Linked DNA regions of Sus scrofa. The protein of the gene in region 1 interacts with the protein of each later gene in a biochemical or structural test. Links are inferred from orthologs where the notes say so. Each region holds a gene or a part of one and is shown in the gene's direction. Other genes may lie near its edges. The genes, in order: ADRB2, GRK6 and GRK2.

Region 1 (10,336 bases):
ACGTCTGTGAAAAGCACTGATAGGGACTGCAGTGAATCTGAAGCTTGTCTTGGGTACTGTGAACATTTTGACGACATGAATTCTTCCGTGGCATAAGCCCAGGATATTTTCCATTTCTGTGTGCCTTCTTGAATTTTTCATCAATGACAGCATTTTCAGAGTACAAGTCTTTCACCTCCATAGTTAAATTTATTCCTAGGTATCTTACTCTTTTTTGACACAGTTGTAGACAGGATTTTTTTAACTTTTCCCTCTGATAGTCTGTTGTCAAGTATATAGAAATGCAACGATTTTTGTATATCATTTTGTACCCTGCTACTTAACTGAATTCATTTATTCTAACAGTTTGTTGGTGGCATCTTTAAAGTTTTCTATGTAAAATTATGTCATCCATAAATGGAGACAGTTTTACTTCTTCCTTTCTGATGTAGGTACATTTTACTTCTTTTTCTGGCCTAATTGCTCTGACAAAGACTTCCAACACCACACTGAATAAAAGTGGGGAGAGTGGACACCCCCGTCATCGTATTTCTGATCTGAGGGGAAAAGCATGGAGTATGATATTTTCTCTGAGTTTGAATACATGGTCTTGGTTACGCTGAGGGACCGTCCCTCTACCCACTTTGCATAAAACCAGAAGAAAAGAGAGGCGGTAAACTACTTGACATGGATCTTGGCAATAAAGTTTTGGATCTGAATCCAAAAGCAGAGGCAACAAAAGCAAAAATGAACAAACAGAACTACACCAAACTTACTTCTGCAAGTTAAGGAAACAATTAACAAAATGAAAGACAAGCTACTGAATGGGAGAAAATGTTTGTAAATCATTTATCTGATAGGAGGTTAATATCAAAATTCTATAAAGAATTCATAAAACTCAATAGAAAATTAAAAAATTCTGATTTTTGAAAATGAACAGATGATCTGAATAGGTATTTTTCCAAAGACATATGGATGGCCAACAGACACATGAAAAGATGCTCATTATCACTAATCATCAGGTAAATGCAAATCAAAACCACAATGAGACATTACCTTACACACAGCAGAATGGCTATCATCAGAAAGACAGAAATAACACGTGCTGGTGAGGATGTGGAGGAAAGGCAACCCTGACGCACTCTTGGAGGGGAGGTAAGTTGGTGTTACCACTGTGGAAAAGTAGGAGCGTTTAGTTCCTCAAAAAATTAAAAACAGAACTACGATATGATCCAGCTATTTCACATCTGGGTATTTATCTGCAGGAAATTAAAGCACTAATGCAAAAAGATAAATGCATCCCCATATTCACTGCAGCATTATCTATAATACCCAAGATAAGGAAGCAACCTGAGTATACATTGGTAAATACACAGATAAAGGATATATATATTATATATACTATAAATATATTTATACACATGTAAATGGACTATCACTCCACCATAAAATGGAATGAAGTCTTGCCATTTGCGACAACATGGATTAACCGTAAGGGAATTATGCTAAGTGAAACATGTCAACGAGAGACAAAGGCTGTGTGAGTCTACTTACATATGAAATCTAAAAAAAACAATAAAAACCAAAATGACAGTCACAGATACAGAGAAGCCCATGGGGTCTGCCGGAGCAGGGGGAGATGGAGAGAGGATAAAATGGGTGCAGGGTCAAGAGGCACAAGCTCCCAATTTCAAGAGAAATGAGCCGGGGAGATGCAATGTGCGTCACACTGACCCTGGTCAGTAACACCGCAGAGCTGACTCCAAAGCTGCCAAGAGAGCAAACCCTGAGAGCTAACCATGATGCGTGGTGACGAACAGTAACTAGACGTAAGATGATCATTTCACCACCTATGCACACACATACTCAATCACTACGTTGCGCACCTGAAACCCATATAATGTTCCATGTCAATTATACCTCAACATACATTTTTTTTAAAAGATGAAAGGAATCTTGTCTCAGCCAAGACTGGGATAAGATTTTCCTAAGGCATCCAGATATTCATGTGAGAGCACTCCTTCGCTCACAGACTCTTACTCCTTTTCAGACATTTGTTTGGTAAATCAAGATTTTTTTTTTTTCTGTTTGCCAGGCAGGAAAAAACAAATGGTGTCTAAAGCGATGGACAGAATATGTAATTAGAGGGAGTTCCTGTCGTGGCACAGTGGTTAATGAATCCGACTAGGAACCATGAGGTTGAGGGTTCGATCCCTGGCCTTGCTCAGTGGGTTAAGGATCCGGCATTGCCATGAGCTGTGGTGTAGGTTGCAGACGCGGCTCGGATCCCGAGTTGCTGTGGCTGTGGTGCAGGCCGGCGTCTACAGCTCCGACTCGATCCCTAGCCTGGGAACCTCCACATGCTGCAGGAGCGGCCCTAGAAAAGACCAAAAAAAAAAAAAAAAAAAGTATGTAATTAGACACTATCGATCACCATAATAGAGCCTGCTTTGTCATGTCAGATGCAGGTGTCTTTGGTCTACAAAGAACTTTCCAGTTCAACTAAAGCTGTGCCCAAAACGCTGTGCTCGTCACAGTCTTCTGCGGGGGAATGAAGACGTGATGGTGGGCAGTGAAAACATGTGAGGCCAGGAAGCGAGCTAGACTCCCTCTTCTCTGCTGCCTCCAACCAGGCACTTCTGGCTCCTGCACTTTAGTCCCTCACTTGCAAACTGGAGGAGCAGGAGGAATAAAGTAAAGGGTCTAGTAAATTCTCTGCTGCTCCAACTATCTCTAAGCCTACAACTCTAAAAGAAGGTCGGGAAAAGACTCGGTGATGCGGGGAAGACAAAGGGGAACAGAATGAGAAGGGAAGGTACTGTCCCTTTGGCGGGGCTGGTGGGGCAAAGGTCTGGAATGGTGCTGATGTAAGCCAAGCCGTCTTCCCTTCTAGAGTTAGAGTTTGTGGCTTTTTTCAAAGGTGTTTCCCAAAATATTCAAAGTTAAATTTTTAATGACTTATGTGTATGCCTAAATGATCCATGAGGTTTGTTCTAAAAGGACTCTCTTTTTTCTTTTTTGGTTATAAGAGAGTTAAACAATATGCTTATTTATTGCACAGCATCACAAATAGGACAGAAGCTTTAAATGGCTCAGTTCTACAATTCCAGAGAAGACATGTATTTAAAGAAATGTTGCATAACAAACAAGGCCTCTTCCTAAAATGCATCCTGCCAGAGCCAATTTTGGAAAACACAAATATGGGACGGGTGTATTTTGAAAATTATGTGAGCATAATAGATCCTTAATTAATATCTGTGGCTTTTATGGGAAATATTTGTGTTTTAAGGCATTTGTCATGCAAAAACAATTTCTGCTAGTGAAGGAAGTTAAACAGGGCATGTGGTTTTGCTTCTGAGTTCTGGAGTAAATGCCCAAGTCCTTTTGTCCTAAAGTACTTCAGTGTCCACTAGTGAACACTAACAACATATTCTGGACTATTCAGTAATTTATATCAATCTCATTTATAACCCTACTTGAGTGAAGTTTTTACTTGCAAAAGCACTATCTCATTTATCATTACATCATTTGGTTCTCATTTAGCTCAAAAGAAGCAACTTTATTGCACATTTAGACATAGAGGAAATTAGGCTCCAGATTTTGGATTTGCCTAAGGAATGTGAGCTAGAAAGAAACTGGAATGCAGTATTCCAATTCCAGTTGTAATCCTTCTCTACCCTCCACTCTGTTCTGCACATGGTAAAGCAGTACATTGAAAGGATTAAAAAAGAGATTTTAGAATCAGGGAGAACTGGGTTCAGCTCCTGCCTGGCATTGCCAGGCTGTGCCTGTGGGCAAGCTATTCTCCTCTTCCAGCCCCCTTTGTGAATTAAATTAAAAATAACTATCCGCCCCACCCACCCCAGCACACACACCACCAGGCGACTGTGGGAAGGATGAAATGGAATAATGCATGAAAAGCACATAGCAGAATGTTTCATAAATGTTAGCCATTGTTAAGTTATTATGTAATCTAGAAAATATGTTTGGTTACACTGAGTGAAACACTTTCAGTTCTTCAAAGACACTACTAATACATGTAAAAATCAAACCCTGAAAATTAATTTCTTTTTAACAGTGAAGTCACATGCCAGATGCAAAGGCTAATATTTCATGGAAAATGACCTCGTCTGAAGCTTGGTCTGACTTTTTTAAGAAAAAATACCTTTTCCTTTCTGTGGTTTCAAACCTTTTTTTTTTTTTTTTTTTTTTTTTTTTTTTGTCATTTTGCCATTTCTTGGGCTGCACCTGCGGCATATGGAGGTTCCCAGGTTAGGGGTCTAATCGGAGCTGTAGCTGCCAGCCTACACCAGAGCCACAGCAACGCTGGATCTGAGCCACATCTGCGACCCACACCACAGCTCATGGCAACACCGGATCGTTAACCCACTGAGCAAGGCCAGGGATGGAACCCGCGACCTCATGGTTCCTAGTCGGATTCGTTAACCACTGCGCCACGACGGGAACGCCTCAAAACATTTTTAATGTTACACATTCTTAGTAATGTGAACCATAATAAATTGCCATGTTTTAGAAGCAGAGATTATAGAATAGCAGCAATTTCATATGGCTCGGATCACCAAACTACCCAGCAGATGATTTTTCTAGTTGCCCAGGCATGAATGAAGTAGAGCTTCAAAGAAAAATTATTCTATTTTCAGTACATTTTCACTTGAACAGATAATGAAGGAGTGATGCCACACTCACTAGAATTAAAATTAAAGCATACAACTTTCTCTTTCTGTCCCCAAACACACGCATGGATAGCCCAGGTCTGAATGAAATCCCAAGCGTAAAAGCCTGTCTCAGTGCCTGCAGATTCCCAAGGAGAGCACCGAAAGTCCTTGACAGCGAGCGAGCTGAGGAAATGGGCAGCTGCTGAAGTCACCTCCTGAGGTCTCGCCAAATGTTTGAAAGGGAATATGCGAAATGTCCGCATGCTGGGGAGGAAAGGACGGAGATCCAGGGTGCCGGAGAAGGGTTTGTAGAACATGGGTGGGGACGTCCTTGGCTGTGACTCCCGGCTTGCCTCCACGTGGCCCTTAGTGTGTTGTTTACTTCTTTTCGTGTGTGCCTATGACTTTGTGGTTCTGGGTGCTGCTGGGTTTGTTCCTGACCACGTCTCTGCGTTAGTTAAGGTTGACTTTGCGCCGATTTGCTTGTGTGTGTGTGTGTGTCCGTGCGCGCACGCGCGTGTGCTTGTCGGTGTGCTGGATGGGTGTGTCTGCGTGTCGGTGGCTGTGGCTCCGTCTAAGTCCGTGCACGTCTGCCAGGTGAATTGTGCCTGTCCGTGCGTGTCCTGGCGGGCACTCTCATTCTCGTCTATTTCCGAATAGGAGGGAGTGCCTGCGCACTACCCTCTGCCCAGGGTCCTCAGGCCTCACGACAAGCCCGGGCAGGCAGGTAGCAGCCACAGAAGACTGCGCAGCTCCCAGCTCGCTGGTAAGCGGCACCCCCCAACTTCAGCTTCAGCCCTGGGGCCAGCCTGGGTAGCCTGGAGGGAGTGGCGACCGGCCGGCAGGGAGCAGCGGGGCCCCGCCCGGGCCAGCCCCAGGAGGAGGCGGGAGAGGGAGGGAAGGGGCGGGGGGGGGGGGGGGGGCCTCGCCCCTTTGGGGCTTCCCGCGCGCCATTGGTCCCAAGTTGGAGCACGTCACGGGGAGGGCAGTTCCCCTCAAGTCCTGTGCACATAACGGGCAGCGCGCACTCCGAGGCGGCTTCTCCGGAGCGCAGGCAGAGACCCGCCGGCACTGCGAGCCTCGAGCACCCCGGGAGCTGAGTGCACCACGCGCCCCCTCCACACCCACCCCACGGCCGCTGAATGAGGCTTCTAGGCGCCCGCTCGCTGCCCGCAGCCCCCCGCCGGAGGTCGGCCCGCTGAGGCGCGGCGGGTGCGCCGGCTGCCAGCGCGCTCACCTGCCCGCCTGCGCGCCATGGGGCAGCCCGGGAACCGCAGCGTCTTCTTGCTGGCGCCCAACGGAAGCCATGCGCCGGACCAGGACGTCCCACAGGAGCGGAACGAGGCATGGGTGGTGGGCATGGCCATCGTCATGTCGCTCATTGTCCTGGCCATCGTGTTTGGAAACGTGCTGGTCATCACAGCCATCGCCAAGTTCGAGCGTCTCCAGACGGTCACCAACTACTTCATCACCTCCCTGGCCTGTGCTGACTTGGTCATGGGCCTGGCGGTGGTGCCCTTTGGGGCCAGCCACATCCTCATGAAAATGTGGACTTTCGGCAGTTTCTGGTGCGAGTTTTGGATTTCCATTGACGTGCTGTGCGTCACGGCCAGCATTGAGACCCTGTGCGTGATCGCCGTGGATCGCTACCTTGCCATCACGTCCCCCTTCAAGTACCAGTGCCTGCTGACCAAGAACAAGGCCCGGGTGGTCATTCTGATGGTGTGGGTCGTGTCGGGCCTTATCTCCTTCTTACCCATTAAGATGCACTGGTACCAGGCCACCCACCGGGAAGCCTTAAACTGCTATGCAGAGGAGGCCTGCTGCGACTTCTTCACCAACCAGCCTTACGCCATCGCCTCTTCCATCGTGTCCTTCTACCTGCCCCTGGTAGTCATGGTCTTCGTCTACTCCAGGGTCTTTCAAGTAGCCAGAAGGCAGCTCCAGAAGATCGACAAGTCTGAGGGCCGCTTCCACGCCCAGAACCTCAGCCAAGCGGAGCAGGATGGGCGGAGCGGGCCGGGACATCGGAGGTCCTCCAAGTTCTGCTTGAAGGAACACAAAGCCCTCAAGACGCTAGGGATCATCATGGGGACGTTCACCCTGTGCTGGCTGCCCTTCTTCATCGTCAACATTGTGCACGGGATCCATGACAACCTCATCCCCAAGGAAGTTTACATCCTGCTAAACTGGGTGGGCTACGTCAACTCGGCGTTCAACCCCCTCATCTACTGCCGGAGTCCAGATTTCAGGATGGCCTTCCAGGAGCTTCTGTGCCTGCACAGGTCTTCCCTGAAGGCCTATGGGAACGGCTGCTCCAGCAACAGCAACGGTAGGACTGACTACACAGGGGAACAGAGTGGCTGTTACCTGGGGGAGGAGAAAGACAGCGAACGGCTGTGTGAGGAGCCCCCAGGCCCGGAAGGCTGTGCACACCGGCAAGGTACTGTGCCCGATGATAGCACTGATTCACAGGGGAGGAACTGTAGTACAAATGACTCCATGCTGTGATGCAGGTGTCTACTTTCTAAGCGCCCCTTTCCCTCCCAGCCAAACACTAAACAACTCGAGTGTGATGAATTTAGAATGAACGTCTATAGAGATGTGCAGGAGGAGGAACATCCTTCTGCCTTTTTATTTTTTATTTTTTTAAGTTGTAAAAAAGAGAAAACATTATTTGAGTGATTGTTTCTTGTACAGTTCAGTTCCTCTTTGCATGGAACTTGTGTAAGTTTATGTCTGCAGGCCTTCGGTCCCAGAGGACGTGGGGCTGGTATGTTTTGATGACTTTTCCGCATATCTACCTCATTGATCAAGTATTAGGGGTAATATATTGCTGCTGGCAATTTGTTTCTGAAGGAGACCTTCCTTCCTGCACCCTTGGACTGGAGGATCTTGAGTCTCTCGGACCTTTCAGCTGTGAACATGGACTCTCTCCACCCCTCTTATTTGCTCAAACGGGGTGTTGTAGGCAGGGATTTGAGGGGCAGCTTTGGTTGTTTTCCTGAGCAAAGTCTAAAGTTTACAGTAAATAAATTGTTTGACCATGACTTCATTGCACCTGTTTCTCCAAAACCCCTTGACTGGAGTGTGGTTCCTCCCCCACTGGAAACCGCAGGTAACTATTTATAATAAGTGCCCAGTGACTTAATGTGGAATGACACAGGAATGACATGCACTGATTGCTTAACCCTTTTGTTTGCCTTTGAATCTGCGGCTGCAAACCTGTCTCTCTCCTACTGCTGATGTCCCCCTAGCAGTCTGTCCGCTCCCAGCGTAGTTCATCTCGCTCTTCCTATGCAGTGTTCTGTGTCGTTACATCAGAAACACTGACTCATAGGAACAGAGTTATGTCCCTCTGTGTGCCCTCACCACCCACCTTTCAGTTCTGCTGGTTTCTGCTTGTTTTTATCTTTACCGTGTCTTAGGGTAGAGATCTTTGTAGTACACCAGGGCTTGGCATTTTAAGGATAAGGAAGTTCTTGTGAAAATACTCAAAGCCTGGTAACTCCAAGGGAAATAAAAAGGCCATGGGATGTAGGGGGAAAGCTGGAGAACACTTAACTGGTGAACAGCTCATGACCGAGAAACAGGGTTGAACCCTCCTTCTCTGTCCTGCTGTGCGTCCTGTCCCCCCTTCCCCGACTCTAGTCTCCAGTATAAATCCAGATTTATCAACCTCACAAGATTAACATTTTCAGCTAATAATTCTAATAATTCTCCAATGTTGAGGGCTGTCCTATACATCGCCAGGTGTCCAGCAGCATCCCTGGCCTCTTCCCACTAGACGCCAGGAACACCTCCTGAGTTGTGAAAACCAAAAATGTCTGCAGACATTTCCTAATACCCCTCCCTTAAGGAATGAAATTTCCCCTGGTTGAGAACCTCAGTTTTAAACTTCAAAAATCTAAACAGATTTTTAGATTCTGCCTAATGTAACCACTTTATTTTGCAGGGCGTCAGAGAGGGATTTTTTTCGCCATTAACCCAGACCCCAGGGCAATGTTCTTCCCCTCCTTCCAAGCCTACTCCCCTGCTGCCCAGACACGGACGGGGAGACTGAGCTGCTGGGGAGGGTTTATCCATGAAGGCAAGGCCCATGAGCCGCGACTGCCTGTTTGTGGAGAGACGATCATACTGTCAAGAGGCAGTAAGGGAAAATCACAAAAGTAAACACATTTCTTCTCCCACCCCTTTCTATTTTTGCCTGGGTGTCTGAGCCAGCGCTTGGCCCAGGTTTGACCGAGTAGATCGTCCTCCTTGGCAACGCCAGCCTGGAGAGATCAACCTGCAGGTTCACTGCCACTTCACACTCTCATGAAGCTGACTCCACTTCTTTCTTCCCTTCCCTTCCCTTCCCACCCAAGGTCTCCGACCAGAAAAGCATGTGTCTTCTCTACTTCCTCTCAGTGCAGTGATGGGGTGTCTGGATGAGTACTGAGCTCTCAGGAGAAAGTTGGGAGCCTGTTTTTCTAGAATATGCCTCCACACATTGGAGAGTGTGCCGTTCAGCACTTCTGCTTTTTCTCCAAGGGCTTTCATACCCATTATCACATGCTTCCCCTGCTCTGGGCCCTACACTCAGAGATGCAGGCAACTTCTCCAGCTAATCTTCACACTCCTCATAGGCTCAGGGGATCTCAGACTTGGAAGAGAAAGCACAGAAAGCATCTGACATCCAAAGAGAAGGGGGAAGATCAGCCCAAGGTAAGAAGCCAAGGATGTCAGAGTCAGGGCTAATGCCAGGCAACCCAGCTGTCGTGCCCAGAATTGGTGTATTCTCTCTACCACATTATCATGGGATTCTGCCCTCACTCTCAATCGCGGAAGCTTTTCCTTGGGACTGGCACATTAACCAATTCATTTCTGCAGATGTTAACATTTCTTTCAGGTCCGTAATACAAAACACAGGCAATAAACAAATAATGTGCAGTAGGGACAAGAGAATCATTCCTTTTTCTCAGCATTTAGGGAAACTGGGAGATTCCTTAACTCTTTATGACCTGCCAGAAATTTCAAGCCATTCCAGGTAGAAATTTACCATAGGCTTATTTTAAAAAAAGGTTGGAAACCTTACCATCATCATGTCTAACTCCCATGGACAATAATACATACATACTCTTTTGGTTAGAGGATTATCTAATGTAGTTTTAATTAAAAACTCAGCTATGACGTTACTTCATAAACTTCCAGCTAAAAGGGAGTTTTAGCCTAATTCATGTCTGTTTGGGAATACTTTAAATACAAGAACTCTGATCAGTTTTAAGGGTTTTGACAATCAGGAGCCTTTAAGGCCTATCTCAGTTGCTTGCTTTCCATCTCCTTTCATCCCGTTTTGTTTCTTTTGGGGAGTGGGCATTTGCCAGCATCTGTCCCTGTTTACTGACAGGTTGGTTACGTAAGGTGTGTGTTGGATGCATCATCATAAAGTTGTCTTTGCCTGGACAGCAAGTTCTTGGAGTCTGTCAAGTGAGAACTTTATCCTGAGATGCAAGCTGACAGATGTGCAAAGTGGCAGAACAGGGTGGGCCTCCTCACTGAGATCATTACTGGCAGAAGGGTCCTGGGGGAAAGGGAGCTGGGAAGTAGGACCTGTCGTTAAATGATGCTTAGAATGTTTCTGATGCACCTCCTACCAAGAGAAGCTTGACCAGAATCCGCCAGGAGTTATTTACAACTAC
Region 2 (10,141 bases), about 70 Mb from region 1:
GACTAGGGATAGAACCCAGGCCACATTGGTGAAAGTGCTGAGTTCCCATTGCTGCTCAGCAGGTTAAGGACCTGAGCTGTTGTCTCTGTGAGGATGCAGTTTCAATCTCTGCTCTGGCTCAGTGGGTTAAGCATTTGGCCTTGCTGTAAGCTGCAGTGTTGGTTACAGATGTGGCTCGGATCCTGTGTTGCTATGGCTATGGCATGGGCTGCAGCTTTAGCTCCAATTCAACCCCTGCCCTGGGGAACTTCCATATGCTGCTGCTGCAGCTGTAAAAAGAAAAAAAAAAAAGTGCTGAGTCCTAACCACGAGACCACAGGGAACTCCCTAATTTTATTTATTTATCTATTTATTTATTTTTGGACCCCCACACTTTTAAAAAAACTAGGTAGGGAATTTCCTGTGTGGCGAGCACATCAGGTTAAGGATCCACCATTGCTGCATCTGTGGTGCAGGTTGTATCTGCAGCACAAGTTCAGTCCCTGGCCTGGGACCTTCCACATGCCATGGGTATGGCCAAAAAAAGAAAAAGAAAACAAGAAATAAACATTCAAAATTATATATTAACAATAAATAAATAAATAAATAAATAAAAAGCAACATAGTATTCCTATACAGGAAAGGACAAAATCTTAACTAGTCCCTATTAAGTACAATCAGTACATTTGGAATTTCTGGACCATGCTGCAATGACCAACCTTGAACATTCATTTCTTATTTTGCTTGAGTGCAATTATATTTATAGGTTAAACCCTAGAAATGCATATGCATATGTCAGATGAATAGTGAAATATTTGTCCTTTAAAAAGGATCACCTTTGGAGTTCCTGCTGTGGCCCAATGGAAATGAATCCAACTATTATCCATAAGGATGCAGATTCGATCCCAGGCCTTGCTCAGTGGGTAGGGAAACCAGTGTTGCCGTGAGCTGTGAGCTGTGGTGTAGGTGGCAGGCAGGCACCACTCGGATCCCCGGGGTGCTGTGGCTATGGCATAGGCCAGCAGCTGTAGCTCTGATTCAACCCCTAGCCTGGGAACCTCTGTATGCTGCAGGCACGGCCCTAAAAAGCAAAGAAAAATAAATAAAAAGGATCACTTTGCCCATAGACAGAGAATGGGTCTGAAGAGTCAGAACCTGAGAGTCATGTGTGATACCTTCCCTTCCTCACCCCAAATAAGTCGCCAAGTCTTATTCATCCCAGCTCCATGATAGCTCTAACCTGGCCACTGCCCCAGCATGGGGCATCATTCCTCTCTTTAATATTTCCTCTTCAAAGGACCTCCCACCTCTCTTACTCAGGACACATGGCTCCAAACAATGGAGAAAATTCTGGGTAACTTGGGCAGACAAAGAATTGATTTGATGTTCTTAGGCGCTTGCTGAATCCCCTGGCCCCAGAAAGGACCTGGCTTGACCACCTCCCCTTCTTCTTCCACTGCCACCTTAATGAACCCTAAATGGGCCTCTGATGCTTCTATGTTAATCACTTGCTTTGGATTTCAAAGACCTGCTTGCAGGCATTGAAAACATGTTCCAGCTACCAGGGACCTTGGAGAATAAGTTCTGCCTCCTCTCTGATTTCCCTAGTGGAAACCAGGGCATGCCTCTGCATTTTATAGGTTTCCTCCCAAAGGGGAGGGGTGCTTAGAAGCTGGGCACCAAAGCAATAGGTGTTTATAAGTCAGCCCAAGCCCCTCTCTCCCAACCCTTCACCCTCACTCCAGCACATCCTCCACAGTGTGGCACAGAATAAGCAAATCTGATGAAGTTAGTCCCTAGTTTAACACACCCTGGACAGCTCCTCACTACCCTCAAAATGAAGTCCAACCTCCTCCTTACCTAGCTTCCAAGGACCTTCCTCATCCAGGCCTCTTCAAGGCCTGAGCCTCATTTCTTGTCCCTCAAGTGCATTCCACCTTGCACCTGAAACTCTACTTCAGTGCTCTGACCAAATGCTTGAGCCCTTACTAACTTCCTCTACAGAATTTTGAATATGAACTTGCATCCAGTGGCTCTTTCCTGCTCCACTCATGTTACCTCTGAAACCTATACATTCTCACTCAACACTTAGATCTCACTTGGACACAGCAGGCTTCACTGGGTGAAGTACCTGCCCTTTGTCCTGCTGGCCACTGGATTTCCCTTTTTCAAGGTACTTATCTTTATTTCCCAAAGTATCCTAAATCCATGCACTTTCTCCATCTCCACTGCCACCTTCTTCCAAGCCGCCGCACTCTGTCTTCTCCCAACTGCTCCCTGTGCTTCCACTCCTGGCCCCTCTAAAAGTCCATTAGCTAGAGTGATCTTTTTAAAGTATAAATCATCCTAAGGCTCCCCATTTTATTTAGGGAAAACAACAAACTCCTCATCATTGATCTACAAAGCCTTCCAGGATCTACCTAGAATCCTTGCTCCTTCATCTCATCTCAGACTATTGGGCCTTGAAACTATACAGGCCTTCTTCCTGTTCCTTGAACATACCAAACTTACTCTAGGCTCAGGGTTTTGCACTTGCTGTTGCCTGTGCTTAAAACTGTTCCCCTAGATTTTTGCGTGGTTGAATCAATTCAAATGTCAACCTGAGATCATTTCTCCTCACTATTTTGTCTTGATGTCTTATTAGCACTTACCACTCCCTCAGACCATCCCACTTATTTGTTTATTTATAGGATTATCATCTTTATCCCTCTCCTAGAAGGTAGGCAGAGAGACTGGCTATCTTACTGGCACTACTGTATTCCCCAGCACCTGGCTCAGGGCCTGGCACAAGGTGCTGTTCTCTGTATTTTTGGATGATGAATGGATAGGGATCTGAGAAGCCTAGTTGAAGCTGGCTCTGCCTTACTAGCAAGTTTGGGCAAGCCTCCATTTCCTGGTGTGTGAAGTGAGGGTGGAGGGAGTAGGATGTTGAGTTAGAAGGTGTTGATCAGCTGTAAAATTTCGGCCTTATTTTCTCCCAACTTTTCTGCCTAGAGCCAGCCACTAGACCTCAGCTCCCCACCTGTACAATGGGTGTGAGCTCGTCCCTACGTCTTGGGGTGGTAGAGCTGCCTTATAAGGCAGCAGAGGCCGAGGGAGGGCGAGGCCCTGTGGGTGGAGAGAAATCACAACATCCGGCTGTGGGGGTAGGGCGGGGGCGCCCGCGGTGGCCCGGACGGAGGCCGAGGAGCAGCTAGGGAGGCCCCCAGCCTTCTCTGGGCCTCTCCCCGCTTCCGATGTGCGCCCTTCAAGATGGGCCGACCCAAAAGTATACGGCCGGATACACGGCCCGAACCTGCAGGAGGCCGGCCGGGAGGAGGCCCAGAACACTAAATGCATCCCCTAAAAACCCTGGAAAAGCCAAGGCGAGTCAAAGGGACCCGGGCCACACCCACAGCTAATAGCCCAATCAGAGTGCAGTGCTAAGGCTGACCGACGCTTCCTTCATCCAATCAAGTACAAGAATTCCAGGGCGTGACCCAGAGGACCCACCTCCGTTGTCCCAGCAGAGGGCTCGTCCCTAATTGGCAGTTCGGTATCCTACGAAGGCCCAGAAATTCGAACATAGAGGCTGAACCCCATCGTAGACCAACTAGGAAGATGTGACGTATTAAGTCCCGCCCCCCTGTTCCTTTGAACGAATCCCTGTCTCTGGGGGCGGGGGATGATGAAGAAGTTGTCTAATGGGAAGACGGCGCGGGGAGCACCCGCCCGGTTATTGGCCAAGTAAAGTAAACAGTGGGCGGGCCGGGGCGGGCCTGGCCGGCGCCGGGGTGGCCCCCGGGAGGGGGCGGAGAGTGAGCGGCGGGCGGCGGCGGCCGGGGAGGCCCGGGAGGCCGCGGCGCGGTCACTGCGAGCCGAGCCGAGCCGCGCCGCGCCGATCGTCATCCGGCCCCGGCTCCCTCGCGCGATCCCGGCCGGCGGCGCGGCCCGGCGGGCCCGGCGGCGCCGCAGCCCATGGAGCTCGAGAACATTGTAGCGAACACGGTGCTACTCAAGGCCCGGGAAGGTGAGGCGATCGGGTGCGGAGAACGCGGTCGCGCGGCCTCCGAGTTCCGCTGGGCGCCCTAGTCGCCCGATCCCCTAGGGCAGCTCTCTCCGCGCCCAGCATTTCGCTCAGACAGGGGCCCTTCCGGCCCATGGTCCTTCTCCGCACCTGCCCCCAGGGAGCCGGAGCCCAGGAAAGGGCGGGGGTCAGGCCGCCGCCCTCACGGCGCGCGCGCGTGCGCGCGTTTGTGTGTGTGTGTGTGTGTGTGTGTGTGTGCGTGCGTGTGTGTATGAGGGGGTGAGGGAAGGAGAGAGGAAGGAAGAGGGAAGGGTGGGACCTCAGTCCTGGAAGCCTCTCCCAGGTGAGAGAGGTAAGAAGATGCCCCAGGAAGGGGCAGCCTTCCCCACGTGCCCCGGGCCCAAACTCCGGCGCCCAGCCTGGATCGGCACAAAGTTAGTGCACGGGTAAAAGGTTTGGAGAATGAATTAACTAAGACTCTGCAGTAGCATAGCCCACCCGAGGCGGGGAAAGCTGGTCACATAGACTACCAGCAAGACGTCCTCTTGCTCAGTGCCTCAGGACACTGGGGACAGAGGGGAATGGGTCACTGTTTTTGCCTTCAGGAAGCCCAGACTAGTGGGGCAGAGGGGCACAGAAATAACTGGAAGCTGAGCTCTGAAGGAAGGGAGCATGCTGGGCTGGTGGGACTGAGTGCAAGGCCTGGCACAGGGAGCTGGCGGGGTGAACCTAGTGTTGCTGAGCTTTTCAGATGTTACCAGGCACCTGCTCTATGAGGATCCTGGGGACACAGAAGGACCAGACTGGCCCCCATTGCCTTGTGGTCAGTCTGCTCCTCACCTGCCATTGACCACCTCAGTAATGTAATCACTGAACACCTACTCTATGTCCTGTCCTATCCAGGGTGCTGGGGACCAGCAGAGAAGACACTTCTTTTCGGAACTCTAGGGCAGGGAGGTCAGGGCAGTTTTTCTACTCTTTGATGGGCTTCCAGGCTGAAAGAGCCATCTGCTTCACCTTTCTGATCTATTTTACAAGTGGGAAACCCAGGCTCGGCTCAGGGACTAGCCCCCAGGATGCAATGAGACGGGTTGACCCAGGCCTACGACATAGGATGTCCCCAGCACAGTCTGTAGGAAAACCAGAGGAACCCCCAACTGGCACAGCATCTGGTGCCCCCTGCCTGCCCATTGCAGGTTGACCCTGGGGAGGTGCTGCCTGGAAATGGGCACAGCAGGCTGGGTCCTCAGTGCCCAGAGCCTTCCTTATCTCCTGTCCTTTATCGAGTCCTGGGGCTAGGCCTTCCTCCCAGCCTCTGGGGGCATCTGCCGATTCTGTTCTGCCTCGTCATCCAGCCAGCCAGGGAGGAGGGGTGGGGAAAGCCTGGCCAGACCTCCCTCCCCAGGGCTGTAGTCAGTTCAGTCCTACTGAGAGCAGTGCTTTGCCTGGCCAGAGAGTGTGGGCACTTTCTGACAGGCCATGGGTGATGCACAGTGGGTTATGGCCAGACTGGGACCCGTGTCTTGGCTGGAATATCTGAACTGGCTCTGCCCCTCCCACCTGGGTAGCTGTAAACAAGTCTCTTCTCTCTGAACTTCAGTAACTCTTTTTGTGAAAGAGTTGGGAATGGGAACTGAAAACTAAAGGAAGCCCCGCTTGTCACTGAGTCCTGAATCCTGGTCCATAGACCAGGTGCATCAGAACCCCTTCGTGAGTTGGGTAACAGCTTGGGCCGGGCTTTTGCCAGCTTCCTAAGTGATCTGAGGCTCCGAGTGTTTTGGGATTGTATGTATTCAGAGAACACCTGAGAGATGCCTTGCACATTTGTGGTGGGAGAGGAGCTTTGGTTGTGGTCCCAGTGAGCTGGATTGGACTCCTCCAGGCTTTGGGACTTTGGACAAATCGATTCATTTGAGGGCCTGTTTTCTCATAAGATTGGGCCGGGTCTGGCGGAGTTGCTGTGAGGATGAAGTGGGGTGGCACTGGGGGTCCCCCTTCCTTTCCCAGGCTCTCAGAGAAACAGGGAGCGGACCGGGCTGGGTGGGGAGGAGCCCCCTTGACTCTGGTGGCAGTTCCAGGACAGGATATTTGCATGTGACTCTTTGCTGCTGCCTTGATGTGGCTGGGAGGAGGGAGGAGGAAGTAACTGGTGGGGGTAGCAGGCGGATGGAGGGTTGGGTGAGGGACCTGCGGGGGTGGGGGCGGAGTTCCCCTTCTGGGGAGGCCTTGCCCTGGATTGGGGGTGGGGGGTCTGTTGCTCACTTACAGTGGAGCAATGACTGGCATATGCTGGGTGTGGGCTGCAGGAGAGCCGCTAGCAGGTTTCCCAATGGGTACCCTGCAAGACTTCCTCCTCCAGACAGCTTAGGTCAGAAAGCCCATCAGGGGACACAACCTTGCCCTATCCCTAGAAGATGGCTCCTCCTCCTGCACCACGTGCCTTCGGCCAGGCCAGATGGAAACAAAGCTGGGGAAACCACAGGGGAAACTGAGGCCAGGCAAGGGAAAGGGGTGGCTTGAGGTCGCCCTTGAGTTTCAGAGCTGGGGCCCACCTCTAGCCACAGCTCTGCTGGATACTGGATAGGCTCTCGGTCACCCTCACAATACCTCTGGAGATGGCTTTGGACCTCAAGTACACATGGAGAAATTGAGGTCCCTAGAGGACAAGCGATGGGCTTGAAGTGTAAAGTGGAAGTTCAAACCCAGGTCTGTGAGATTTCAAGACTCAGGCCCCTTCCACCATTTTCAACTCCATGACCCACAGGCCACAGCTGGCTAGCTCTTTAATGTGTTGTGTTTATTTGGCTACAGTGGGTTTTAAAATACAGGAACCAATCTTTCATATAACAGCCTGGACCCCCAACTGATTTTGAAAGTCAGAAGAGCTGGCCACCCTGAGCCAGCATTCCTGCCTAGAAACAGTCAAGCAATCAGCTGCAGCTACCCCTGTTCGAAGCGCAAGCCGAGTCTGGTTCACCACACGCCCTACCCCTCCCTGTTGTCTCCCATTTACCATACCCTGGCTCTGGCTCTGTAGGCATTTGCACTGCTACCCTGGTCTCAACAGCTACAATGAGGGGTCAGCTAGGTAAAATGGGGCAGGTACCCAGGAAAGCAGGGGTAGGCATCCTGAGTGCCAGCCTTCCTGGTGCCACTTTGAGACTCTGATAGCTCTGGTGCAGGGCCTGGAATAGAGGCCTGGAGCCTCCCTGGGCCCCAAGCTGCCCTTTGCCCCTGGCATCTCTCAGGCATGATCCCATGTCCTGGAACATCTCCCTCCTGGGCCATGACTTACACAGTTCTCACCACTGTCCTGTCCTTCTCTTTCTCCACCTGGGAAAGTCCTACCGGGTAGGAAGCAGCTGAGGCTTGCCAGAGCTTCCTGGAACCCCTCCCTCCCCCAGCCACCTGGACTCCATTGCCTCTCCTGGCTCTTCCAGCCCAGGAGCCCCTAGCAGGAAGGCCCAGGGGACCATGTGCGTCCTCCAGTGGGGACATGTTGGAGCATGTGGAAGGAAGGCCTGAGGTGCCTCCCAGAGTGGGTTTGGCCTAGGTCAGGCCCTGAAGGCCTCTGGACCGCACTGAGGGTGGCCGGGAGGCCATAGCAGGACTTGAGACCCAGTGCCTGACCCAGCATCCGTTTGCTGTTTACTCCAACAGGCGGTGGCGGGAATCGCAAAGGCAAAAGCAAGAAATGGCGGCAGATGTTGCAGTTCCCCCACATCAGCCAGTGTGAAGAGCTGCGGCTCAGCCTTGGTGAGGCCTGAGTAGAGACTGGGGGGTGGGGCAGGGGGGCAGTGCCATGCAGAGGTGAGAGGATCCTGCTGGTGCCGGGGCAGCCCCCCTGGAGACTTTGCTTTGGGGTGGAGGACCGGGTTGAGGGGTTTCGGGGAGCGGAGAGACTGAGGCTGCACCACCCAACCCAGTTTCAGTTCCTGGGCTTAGGATGGGTGGAGGGCAGAGAGCACACAGGACAGCAGGGGGCGGTTGGGGTAGGTGTTGGAGGGGGTGGGACGGGGTCAGATTTGAGGCCATCTGCGGGAAGCAGCGGAAGGGAGGGCCAGGCCCGGATGAGCAGGGCTCAGAGGACGGAGGGTGTGGCGGGGGCTGGAGTCAGCCCACAGATCAACTGCCCGGGGAACCCCAGGCCTGTGCTCAGCTCCACCCAGCCCTGTCCTGGGGGTGCCCAGCAAAGCCTTGATCAGAAGGACCCAGGCCCCCTCTGACAGCCTGCACGTGGGCTGGGAGTACCATCCCCGGGTCGGAGGCCTAGCCTCGAGCTTGCCGGAAGCCACAGCTTCCTCCCACACTTTCGCCAGGCAGGCAGCAGGTGTGGGCTGGGCCCGGGCCGGGCCGGAACCTCACAGACCGCACCCAACCCCAGCACTGTGACGTATGCAAGTGGTGTGAACCAGGACACAGCGGCCGGAAGTGAGGACCCAGGCCCTGGAGCCATACTCCTGGCTGTGTGACCTTGGGCTAGTCACTTAGCCTCTGGGCCTCGGAGTCCCAAGCTGTGATGGCAATAACAGTAGTGCCACCTCAGTGCTGTGGTGAGGGCTCTAAAGGAGATAACGGTTGCCATACTGGGGGGCCGGAAGCTGTTGGTGGGGGCCCCGGGCCTGGCAGTGTGGACAGGAGCGCCCTGCCAGCAGGCTCCAGGTCCGGGAACCCAGCGGCTCCCACCTCTGCCTGCAGAGCGTGACTACCACAGCCTGTGCGAGCGGCAGCCCATTGGGCGCCTGCTGTTCCGAGAGTTCTGCGCCACGAGGCCCGAGCTGACCCGTTGCACTGCCTTCCTGGACGGGGTGGTGAGTGCAGCCCAGCCCAACATCGAGGGTGGGCAGGGGTCTCAGGCCATGTGTGCCTTGTCTCCCCACACCTGTTTCTCCACCCAAACCCCAAGCTGCTCTGCCTCCCACCCTGCAGGCTGAGTATGAAGTGACCCCAGATGAGAAGCGGAAGGCATGTGGGCGGCGGCTGATGCAGAATTTTCTGAGCCACACGGTCAGTGAGCACTGATGGAGGGATGAGGGCAGAGCTCAGCGATGGGGAGAGGAATGACCACAGTCTGGGCAGAGACTGCCCTGGAGCTGCTCCAGGCTCACTGGGCAGCTCTGTAGGCATGGAGCCCAGCAGGGTGGGCCAGGGCTCTGGGCCCCGCAGCCTGCCAGCAGCTCTGTTTCATGCTGCCTCAAGGGGAGCGGCAGGAACCAAGGTCAGCAACTGGGCAGGCTGATGCACCGCCAGCTGCAGCCACCCCTAGCAGAGGCCTGAGATCTCTGCCGTGTCTGCCCTGGGAGTGGGCAGCTGGCCGAGGGACCCTTCTGCACTCACCTGTGTGTGGCCTGTCCCCAGGGTCCTGACCTCATCCCCGAGGTTCCCCGGCAACTGGTGACTAACTGTGCCCAGCAGCTGGAGCAAGGGCCCTGCAAAGACCTCTTCCAGGAGCTCACCCGGTAAGCCTCTCCTTGCCCACAGGCTGAGCACTGTGTCCTGAATAGGGGGCTTCTGTGGACCCAGAAGGCTGCAAACAGTTCAGCAGCTGGTGAAGGAGCTCAGCCTCTCACCCCAGCCTTGCCCCTGCTGTGTGGCCTTGGGCAGGGTGCCTCCTCTCTGTAGCATCCACGGCTTCAGCACAGGATGCCTGCCCCCTGCCTAAGTGGGTTAGCAGAAGGGTTGGCCGAGGACAATGCCTTTCCAGCTGAGCATACACATAATGGGGGGCCTGGCCCATCAAGCTGATAACCTGGGAAATCAGGGGCTGACCGGCAGGCTGGCCCTTCTCAATAGGCTGACCCATGAGTACCTGAGCGTGGCCCCTTTTGCCGACTACCTCGACAGCATCTACTTCAACCGTTTCCTGCAGTGGAAGTGGCTGGAAAGGTGAGTTCCTTGAAGGCTGGGCTAGTGTGGGCCAGGTTGCTGGGGTTCTCACGGTCCCTGCTCAGCTAGCCTCTGCTCCCTGACCCCTTGCCCACAGGCAGCCAGTGACCAAAAACACCTTCAGGCAGTACCGTGTCCTGGGCAAAGGCGGCTTTGGGGAGGTGAGTGGCCAGGCCAGAGCCCGGCAGAGGGCAGGGCTGGGGTAGGGTGGGTCCTGACCACCTCCTTCCCAGCTCTGAGTCCCAGTAGCCCCAAGGAGAGCATAACTGG
Region 3 (10,265 bases), about 140 Mb from region 1:
CTTTTCAGAATTCACAGGGACTCTGGTCATTGGACAGAATTTTTAAAACAGGAGCTGCTCCAAAAACTCCAGGCCAGTGTGTAGCTGGAGTCAGGGTCCTGACGAGCTGGGGAGGGGTGGGAGCCGGGAAGATAGAGGCCTCCTTTTGCATCTTCCTGTGCTTCTGGCCACTTTCTCTCCCAAACTCCATGCCTCACCTTGAGTTGAGACTCTCACTCCCTCAGTCACTCATTCACTCATCAAACGTGGACTACACCACCTTTCTGTACCAGGTCCCGTGGTGGGCACCAGGGACAAGCGGTGACCTGAGAGCATCAATTAACACTGAGAGAAGGCCATTTTTTTTTTTTCTTAAGATACATTTGCATTTCTAACATCAAGATGCATTTTTCCAATTGATGCAAACATTTAATAAAGCTTCACACACACACATCCCACCCCATCAAAAACCTGAAATGATGCATCTTGCAATTGACGATATTTCCTTTTTTTTTTTTCTTTTCAGGGCCAAACCCTCAGCATATGGCAGTTCCCAGGCTAGGGGTCTAATCGCAGCTACAGCTGCCAGCCTACGCCACAGCTCACGGCAATGTCGGATCTTTAATCCAACTGAGCGAGGCCAGGAACCTCGAACCTGCAACCTCATGGTTCCTAGTCAGAGTTGTTTCCGCTGGGCCACCACAGGGACTCCCTGATGATATTTTCAAATCCAGGAAATAGGCATGAGTGCAGAACAAGAGAGGTGCCCAGCTGGGGGCAGGGGAATGGGGAAGGCCACCTAAAGGAGGTGGCTCTTAAAGAAGAAGCAGGTGTTCGCCAGGGAGGAGGGAAAAGCAAAGGCAAAGAGGTAACAACAGATGGGTGGGCTGGTGGGGGTCCCAGGGCATAGAGGGTGGTGGCAGCACAAGCCTGAGAGAGGAGCAGGACCCAGTCATCCAAGACCTTGACTTGCAGGTTAAGGAACTTGTTCACCTGATCTGCTTTGGGCAGAATGGGGTGGGGCCTGAAGGCCCTTCTGATTCCCCACCCTCAGCAGCCCAAGAAGGCCTGGAGCCCTGCTTCTCAGTCAGACCTAGATTTGGGAGAAGCATCTCTGGTCAGGGCCTGCATTAGCGCAGCAGCCACAGGGATCCTCAGAAGCAGACAGGTTTTTGGGTTTTTTTAAATAATTTTTATTTTTATTAAAGTATTGTCATTTACAATGTTGTCTTAATTTCTGCTGTATAGCAAATTTATTCATATATATATATATATATATATATATATATATATATAATAAAGATATTCTTTTCCATTATGGGTTTTTTTGGGTTTTTTTGGTCTTTTTAGGGCTCCACCCGTGGCATGTGGAGGTTCCCAGCCTAGGGGTCGAATTGGAACTAAACCTGCCGGCCTACACCACAGCAATGCTGGATCCCAGCCACATCTGCGACCTACACCGCAGCTCATGGCAATGCCGGATCCTTAAGCCACTGAACAAGGCCAGGGAACGAAACTGCATCCTCATGAATGCTAGTCAGATTCATTTCCGCTGTGCCACGGTGGGAACTCCCTGTTCTATTATTTTAATGGCCACACTCACAGCATATGAATGTTCCTGGCCAGAGACTGAATCCAAGCAGCAGCTTTGAGCCACAGCTACAACAACACCAGATCCTTTAACCCACTGTGCCAAGCCAGGGATCAAACCTGCACCTCTGCAGTGACCCAAGCTGCTGCGGTGGGATTCTTAGCCCATTGTGCCACAGTGGGAGCTCCTCTGTTATGGTTTATCATAGGACACTGAATTATAGTTCTCTGTGCTATACAGTAAAATTTTGTTTGTTGCTTATCCCCTCCATGTATTATAGCTTACCTTTTTTTCTTGTTATCTTTTTTTTTGGTCACAGCGGGCAGTGGCTTGATGTGGGATCTCAGTTCCCAGATCAGGGATCGAATCCGGGCTGCAGGGGTGAAAGCACCAAGTCCAAACCACTGGACCACCAGGGAACTCCCCAGAAGCAGATGGGTTTAAGAAGAGCCTCAGGAGGCCAGATAGGAGGGTGTGGTGACAGATCAGGGTTGGAGGAGGGAGAGGGTCAAGGATGATGTCTGCAGTTCTAGCTTGGGCATCTGGGTGGATGGTGGTGCCCCCACTGAGAAGGGGACCTCGCCATCTTCAAGTGATCTTGCCATCTTCCAGGCTCTGCCAAGGCTGATTTCAGAAGGTAGGCTGAGAAGTGCACAGAGTCTCCTGCTTTGCAAAAGGGTACTGGTTGTTGGCCCACAAACTGGCGTGAAGCTTGGGCCCCAAGTACCTAGGACGGGGAGGGGATCTTGTCACCTTGGAAAGCAGAGAGAGGCTCTAGAGTGGCATGTTGTGATAGCGGGTGCTGCTTGGAGACACATGGGTTCCTGTCCCCATGGGCTCTCAGCAGAGTAAGTGCCCCTGGCCAGGCAGCACTGTGACCCCCCATGCCCTCCCAGGTCCTGGGGGTAGTGGGGCAAGGGGGGCGATGCAGGGTCCTTGGTCCTGAGTGGGAGTCCTGGGGCCAGGATTGGGTCTGGAGCAGGAGGAGTGAGGATTGGGACTCATGGAGGTCTGGAGTCTGACTGCATTTTTCAGCTCCCAGGTCCATGGCAACCTGTTCAATGTTCTAGGTCCAGTCTCAGTCCCAGTTGGATGTCCTGGTCCTGGGTCCATGTTCAGAGTTTTTTGGGGTTTTTTTGTCTTTTCGCCATTTCTTGGGCCGCTCCTGCAGCACATGGAGGTTCCCAGGCTAGGGGTCTAATCAGAGCCGTAGCCACCACCCTATGCCACAGCTCATGGCAACGCCGGATAATTAACCCACTGAGCAAGGCCAGGGACCGAACCCGAAACCTCATGGTTCCTAGTCGGATTCGTTAACCACTGCGCCACGACGGGAACTCACCATGTTCAGAGTTTTTGATGTTGGGTCTAGAACCCTGGTCTGCAGTGAATGGCCCACATCTGGGTCTGGGCCCTGCTCTCAAGTCCAGGGTTTAGGGTCATGATAGCGGTCTGAGTCTGAGGGTGGGATCAAGGTTGGGGTCAGCAACCAAGGTGGGATGGAGGTCGTGGTCCGTGGGTGGCATCAAGTGTTTGAGGTCATGGTCCACAATCTGGGTCTGGGGTCAGTGGTAGGGTCTGGATGTGAAGGGCGGGGGGGTGGGCTCAGAGTGTTGATCCCAGGCCATGGTCAGAGTCTGAGGTGGTGGTCCAAGGTCTAGGTCTGAGGTCCTGTTCGGAGTCTGGGGTCAGGAATGTTATCCGGGTCTGCGGTGCGATTTCCGACTGTGTCCAAGGTCAGGGGTCAGGGGTTACAGCCAGGCTCTGAGACCCAAGTCCCTGGGATTACGTTCTGAAACGCCAGTCTGCGGTCCCGGCCATGGCCTCTTGTGGAGTCTGGGATCCGAGCTGCGGTCCAGGTCTGGGTCTGGGGGCTTCTTCGGGCCAGGTCCCTGCCGTGTTCCACGTCCGGGGTCAGGGTCTCGGCTGAAGGTTGGGGTCCGAGATCCGAGGCCACGGGGCGGAGCTGAGACGGGGTCCGGGTGGCCCCGGGGGTCAGTCTCAGGCCACCCGCGCGGCCTCCAGGGGGCGCCGCCGCCCGGCCGCCCGGCCCCTCGCGGGCTCGCTGGCGCTGTGCGCGGCAGGCGGGGCCGGAGGCGGCGGCGGCTCCGGGGCGCGGGTGGCGGCGGCGGCGGCGGCGGCGGTGGCGGTGGCGGCGGCGGCGGCGGCGGCGGCCCGACTGCAGTCCCGGCGGGAGCGGAGCGAGCCGGGGCCGGGCCCGAGCCGGCGCCATGGGGCGGCGCCGCCTGTGAGCCGCGGCGAGCGGAGCCGCGGGCGCCCAGCGGGGCCAGGCGGGCGGCGGCGCCCGAGGCCGACGGAGCGGCCGGGCCGGGCCGAGCGCGCCGAGCGGAGCGGAGCGGAGCCGAGCGGCGGGAGAGGCCGCCGCCGCCGCCAAGATGGCGGACCTGGAGGCGGTGCTGGCCGACGTGAGCTACCTGATGGCCATGGAGAAGAGCAAGGCCACGCCGGCCGCGCGCGCCAGCAAGAAGATCCTGCTGCCCGAGCCCAGGTGAGGCGGGCGCCGGCCCCGCGCCCCGCGGCCCCAGACCCCCGGGCACTGGCCCCGGGACCCCTTCTGCCCCCGGCGCCCCGGGCCTGTGCACCTGAACCCGGCGCGCCCCAGCGCCGGGCTTGCCAGCTCCCCTGGCTCCCCGACCCGCCCGGTGCCCCCTGCCCCACTGTGCCTCCCTCTCCCGTCACACACTCTGCCTGGCCCCGGTCTCTGTCGGCCCCAGGGGCTCCCTGCTCCCCTTCATTCTCCTCGGGTAGCCCTGGGTCCCCTCCCCTGCCTGCCCCATCTGCCTGGCCGGACTCTTCCTCCCTTCGTTCCGCTGCCCCTGCTCCCAGCACCCGCCCCCCGGGTGCCACTGCCCCCACCCTGGCCCCCTCGGGTGGACACTTGCCTGAGGTTTGGGGGATACTGGGTCTTCCCCATTCTTCGGGTGGGTCGTTGGCTTGGGGTGGGGTTTGAATTCGGCTTTAGGGGCTGGGGCGGTGGTGGGGAGCAGGGTACGGTGTGCGCCCCATCCCATTAAGACACCATCTGTCCCTCTCCCCGCGAATTCGTCCTCCGGCAGGCCCTGCTTGCGGTGCCCTGTGGGTGCCATTTGCCAGGGGACGTCCCGGCACCCCTGCAGCAGCTGGACCACGGCTGCCACCTCTCTGTGAGACAACTGATGACATTGCACCTGATATCAAAGTTTAAACTGTTCAGGATTTAGGGACAGGAACAGACAGGATACAGGCAGTAGCTCAGGCTGTCCAGTGTTTTATGGCTTCTAGAGTATTTTCCCATTGTTTGAGCGTCAAGCAGCCCATGGGTGGGTAGAACCAGTGTGGAACAGGTGGGGAAGCCGAAGGCCCAGATGGGAGTAGCCTGCTCAGTGTCACAGGTAGTCCAGGGTGGTGCCTGGCTGCCAGATCAGGGCTTCCGGCTGCTGGTTCCACAATGTGGCCACCCTTCTGGCCTGAGCGGGGACCTGTTATTCTGCAACTGCAAGAGCCACGGGCCTACCACCAGTCCCAGCAACTCCTCTATCTCTGCCTGGGAGTTGCCATGCTGAGGCCCAGCCGGCCCAGCCGGCCCAGGAGCCTGGGCCCCTCTGAGCTGTCATGGTCTTATCATGTGACTTTGGGCAAGTCCCTTCCCATTTCAGGGCCTCAGTGTTCTCATCTGTGAAACGCGGTGGGTGCGAAATAAGGACTGTGACCGTGGCATCCTGAGTGTCTGAAGCAGGGCCCAAAGCTGCGGGGCCAGCATCTCCGGTCCCCTCCACTGGGCCCTGTTTGCTGGCTTTCGAATTGACTGAACACCAGGCCTGGGAGAGGAAAATCGGTCTGCATTTTGAAAAGGCCGTTAGGGCACCCCCCCCCTTTTTAAGACATTTGCAATCAGATTTCTCAAAACAGGAACCAGACTGACTGTCAGCTGGGGGCTGTCCAGGGAGCAGCGACAGTTAGAACAAAATGAGTTCAGAAATGACAAAGCCACGAGGGAGGAAATGGGGGCGTCAACCTCTGGGGTTCGCAGTGACTCTCCGTGGTGGCCGCGGGCCTCAAGACCCTCCTGTGGGTCGGACTTGTGTAAACTGTGAGGCGGGGCCTTTTCTAGAATTCTCTGCGTTTGGGTAATCTCGTCCCAGAATGCTTTGCTGCCGACGGGGCCCCGCCTTGGGTTGGCTCTGCAGGTGCTAGAACCCCGAGAACCAAGATGGTCCTTTCCCTGTCCCTTTACCCGCCATGATCGTGATGGCGGCGGTAGGCCTGATGGTGGAAATGAGAATAATTGACTTGTTTGGGACATGTGTCATCTCAGTCGAGCCAAAAACCAACCTGTGGGGTTGGCAAGGCCGTGCCTCGCGTGTAGTAGTTGCTCAAGAAATTTCAGGACTGTGTCGAGTCTGAAACCAGGTGGGCCGGGAGTTTTAGGGGAACAGCAAGAGCCGGAGAACCAGGTATTGTGAGTCCTCACGTAGGGTCACGATCTGGCGGCATGATGTTGGCTAGATGGCCCACGCCATGAGACGGACTAGTGGCCCCAGCAGTGGCCGTTCCTGCACCAAGGCCACGAGGGGCCTCCCGCCTCGGAGGAGACGCCGTCCTTTGCTTTGTGCTTTGCCCACAGGTCAGAGGCCTCCTGGGTCAGAGGCCTCCTGCCCTGGACATCATTAGGCTGTCGCGTACGTTTGCCTGGCACGTCCCAGTTTGCAGAGTGCCTTTTACTCCATTTTATCCTTTTCACAAAACTGTGGGAAGCAAGCATGGCAGGTGGTATTTTCTCATTTAATAGTTGAAGCAACTGAAGCTCAGAGACTTGGTCCCGGAGGCGAGGCAGAGATGGCACTTGGGGTCTCTGGACTCCCACGTGCTCTGCCCCTGCTGTGCCTCATTTCTTCCGCACGCCCGCTCCGTACCTCCGCCCTCACCCGGTCCTTGTTTCGCGGAATGTGCCAGTTGGCACCCCTTGCCCGGGGAGCTGTGGCTCTGTGAGGTGGCCTGGAAGCAGCAGGGCAGCCCCCAGCACCATAACTGTCTTGGGTCACAAGGCTCAGCTCCACACCTGAGGTCATGTCTTGCCCACCTGAGGTCAAGGTCGGGGAGAAAGGCCAAGGTCTGTCTGTGACAGGTGCCATTTGGAGTTTTTCCCACCTTGGGGTGGTCCGTCTTGGCAGCCTCCCTGCGGCTGGTGCCCGAGTTGTGGCTTGGCCGGGAGCTGGGGCTGGCATCGAAGTTCCGACTTCTCAGGGCTGGGGAGCAGGAGCTGTTGGGCACAGCGCCACTTTGAGTTGGCACAGGGGCCTCCCCTTCTGTCACCCTGTAGAATCCGAGGAAACAGACCCATTTCTCGCCCTTCTCGTGGAGGAGGCAGCTGGGTCGCTGGGACCCCATCTTCTAATCCTGCTGCGGTCCCAGCTCACATGGGACCTGGGCGCATCTCATCCCAGCCGAGCCTGCCTCAGTTTCCCCCTTGGTCCAAGGAGGCAGCCGCCCTTCACAGGTGACCTCTCTGGCCCCTTCTGCCCTCGGGGACTGTGGTCTGTGCCTCTCCCCCAAGGAGCTGCTGTCTCCCTTTCTCAGCAGCGGCAGCCGTCCGTAATTATCGTCATTTGCTTAATATGACCACGGAGGCCTCGTGTAATTAATCTCTGGGCTCCTGGCGGAGGAGACCGGCCGGGCGGTCCCGGGAGACGCCCCTGCCCTCCCCGGTGACAGCAGCAGCCCCAGCGGCAGATGTCAGAGCCGGTGCCTCTTGCAGCCTCCGGTCTCCGCGGCTCTTTCCTGGTCCCTCCCCCACCGTGGATTTCCTCCTCCCTGCCCTTTGCTGGCTTCCCCGCTCCCAGACCCGCCGCTCTTCCTCCTGCTTCGGCTCCGTTCCTGTTAACTCTTTGCTCCCAGGACTTCCTGCCCTGGATTTGTGGAAGGAACGGGTGCAGGGAATGGCTTTCTCCTCTCCTCCTCCCTCCACGTCTCCATCACCAGCAGAAACCCTGCTGTTCCCAGCCTTTATCCCCTACCCAGAACTTTCCACTCCAGCAGCGGCGTTCTCTCCCCTCCCAGCCCTGAAAACAAGATTATCTTTGGGGCACTCATTTCCTCGGGGCCTTTGAAGCCCCCACTCGCCCCAGGAATGGGTCTCCAGGATGTCGTTTCCCATCTGTTCTCCTTGCCAGAGCTTGGGTTTCACAATTTTGCCGTTAAGTTGCTCGGCCGCCTGCCGTTCCCTCAGTGAATGGATTCGGAGGGAGTGTGAGCATCACAGGTCGGCACCCGTGCCGGGGAGTCTGGGCTCTGACAACCCAGGAATAATGTGTCCTATTAATGCACGATCAATCCTTAGTAGTAAACTCCCGATGACGTCAGGGGCAGGCACGCCTGCAGCGGCGTTTCCTGCCCGCCCCGAGCCCCCGGGGAGGCTTTGCCCAGGGGCTGAGCTCTCGGGGGCCACTGGGTTCAGGCTGCCTGCGCCTGGCTGGCGCTCTCGGGACGTCATGCTCCTGCCTCGAAACAGACAGCAGGAGCCACGAGGACGCGAGGGTCTTTGAGGAGTTCACAGGCTCCGTCCCACCTGCCCCTTTTTCCTGTGGCCTCGAGGGGCCGGGACCCTCTGCAGGCCGGATGCGAGAGGGTGCCTTCCACTCAAGTAGTCACGGATCTGTTTCAGTCAGGAGAGGCTCAGCGTGAGGGCTCTGCAGCCTTTTCTAAGACAGAAACATGCCTGCCTTTGCCTCGTCGCCCATGAGGAGGGGAGCCTGTCGGCCCGCCGCAGAGCAGGGTTTCAGCAGGGGCTTTTCCAGTGTTAGCAGCTCTGTCTTCTGACTCTTGAGGCCGTTCTGGGGCTGGGCTTCCTGGGAGCTGCAGGGCAGCGAGCCCTGGAAGTTGGCTCCGCGTTTGTTCTAACGTGGTGGCAGCAGTGATGCGTGACAAGCTGCGAGAGTGCTTTTTCCCCGCACATTCTGCAAGCTGTCACTTTGTGGCCGCCATGCCATGGGGAATCTGGGTTGCTACGAGGTGGGCTCGTGTGGGTGGTGCCCAGTGGGTGTCATTTTATCTTCCCTGGCTCAGGGTTAGTCTTTCCCATTTGGTATGTGGCCCTGTCCTCAAGCTCTGAGGATGTTGTTGGCTCCAAGGAGAGTCATTGAGAAATGTTAATAAGATGCCCCAGAGGACTTCCTCTTACCGCTGCCACCACGGTGCCAGGTTTCCTGGAAATGCCACAAAGCAGCACCTCAGCCTCGGCTACAGCCTCCTCTCGGCGGGCTTAACCGTCGTCTCCTAGAGCTGACAGTTCCCGGTGGGGCTGCACCAGACCTGCCAGGCCTGGAGCCCCCGTGCCAGCTTGCACTGTCCTGAGCTGCTCTGTCATCCCTGTCACAAGGAGCACAGGAACCGCAGCCCCCGACCTGCCAGGTGCCGGCCAAGGCTGCCCCCAGCCTGGTGGAGGTGGGGGCCGAGGCAGCCAGGGCACGAGTCTGGGGTCCCCTGAGACCCTTCACCCAGCAATCCCACAGAGGCTGAGGGAGGCCCTTGCCTGGCAGAGGCCCATTCTCGGGGAGGGCCGGCCTGGGACTCTGAGTGAACAGCTCTGCTACTTCTGGCCTCGATTTCCTCGGCGTCAAAATGAGTGTCTGCTTCTGACGCTGCGGTCCCTCCCAGTCCACATAAATGAGTCTGTGACCCTGAGTGGGAGTCGTCCGTGAGGCCGCTGCGCCACAGAGCAAGGGACTTAGCGTTTCCTTTGAGCCACATGGTGCCTGGAGGTACCGGAAGTTCTCCCCCTCCGCCGGGTCCCCCCCAACTCGCTGGGATGGGGGGAGGTGCTCTCTCTCCTCCGGCTGCGGCCCTGGTCACAGGCAGTGGGGCCGGGCAGCTCCTGCCAAGGGGCCCTTGCCACCTTGGCAGGGCAGGTACCGAGCTCTGCCCACCACCAACCGCCGCGGAGTGGCCCATGTGCATGGGGCTGGTCGGTGAGCCAAGTGGCGCTGCCACCACTCTGGCCCCAGGAGAGCTGGTGGGCTCAGCCCCGGGGAGCGCTCACCAATCAGGAGGCCGCCTGGCCGTAGCCCCACCCTCCGAGGACGGGGCAGGTGTGGGGCGTGGCTTCTGATCGCGATCTAGAAGGCAGGGCAGGCTGGGGGGCCCTGGAGGAGGAGGGAGCTGACAGCCCTCATGGCAAGGCTGGCATCTTGGGAGAGCTCTCCTTCTGCCGTGTCCTCTCGGCCATTTTCAGTGCCCAGCTGGGTGGTGCCGATTCAGCATTTGTTGACATCCTCCCTTTACAAGTGGGGAAACTGGACCTTAAAGTTTGTGACTTGGCCTGGCCTCCAGGAGGGAGGTGGGGAGAGCCGTTTGGAGCCAGGCCCGGGTGCTCGTCTGACTGGGGGGAACAAAGGCAGCTGAGGGCCCTTCCCGGAGGGGCTGGGAGCCTTAGGGTCCTTCCAGGGGGAATGATGCGGGCGTTTGGCGCTTCTGACCACCGGAGTAGATGTGGGAGCCACTACTCCTGGATCTCAGGGTTGTTGCCCCGGGCCGGGGCCTGTCACGGCTCCAGACGCTGCCAGCATCAGGGAGCGGGGGTAGGAGATGAAGCTGACCCAGCCCAGGAGGCCACCACCGCCTCCTTGCCAGCCTGTGCTTGCCACCCTTGCAGGAGTGACCCCACGGCACGTTTCCCTAACCTCCTGGCTCCCTCAGCCCC

The links.
Region 2: the proteins of ADRB2 (region 1) and GRK6 form a complex in vitro, tested with the Homo sapiens proteins (2 studies listed by BioGRID, with this or other methods). The link is inferred for Sus scrofa from reciprocal best matches to the Homo sapiens genes ADRB2 and GRK6.
Region 3: the proteins of ADRB2 (region 1) and GRK2 form a complex in vitro, tested with the Homo sapiens proteins (2 studies listed by BioGRID, with this or other methods). The link is inferred for Sus scrofa from reciprocal best matches to the Homo sapiens genes ADRB2 and GRK2.

Annotation. Positions count from the first base shown.
Region 1 is NC_010444.4:150,027,887-150,038,222, forward strand, and holds ADRB2 (beta-2 adrenergic receptor), read left to right. Parts: upstream 1-4,762; 5' UTR 4,763-5,421; intron 5,422-5,676; 5' UTR 5,677-5,909; coding exon 5,910-7,166; 3' UTR 7,167-7,705; downstream 7,706-10,336. UniProt on the Homo sapiens protein: Beta-adrenergic receptors mediate the catecholamine-induced activation of adenylate cyclase through the action of G proteins. The beta-2-adrenergic receptor binds epinephrine with an approximately 30-fold greater affinity than it does norepinephrine.
Region 2 is NC_010444.4:80,520,844-80,530,984, reverse strand, and holds the start of GRK6 (G protein-coupled receptor kinase 6), read left to right. Parts: upstream 1-3,776; 5' UTR 3,777-3,936; coding exon 3,937-3,988; intron 3,989-7,645; coding exon 7,646-7,741; intron 7,742-8,304; exon of another isoform or gene 8,305-8,504; coding exon of another isoform or gene 8,505-8,538; intron 8,539-8,683; coding exon 8,684-8,796; intron 8,797-8,914; coding exon 8,915-8,992; intron 8,993-9,343; coding exon 9,344-9,444; intron 9,445-9,778; coding exon 9,779-9,871; intron 9,872-9,968; coding exon 9,969-10,032; intron 10,033-10,141.
Region 3 is NC_010444.4:5,221,146-5,231,410, reverse strand, and holds the start of GRK2 (beta-adrenergic receptor kinase 1), read left to right. Parts: upstream 1-3,903; 5' UTR 3,904-3,966; coding exon 3,967-4,079; intron 4,080-8,039; exon of another isoform or gene 8,040-10,265. UniProt on the Homo sapiens protein: Specifically phosphorylates the agonist-occupied form of the beta-adrenergic and closely related receptors, probably inducing a desensitization of them. Key regulator of LPAR1 signaling.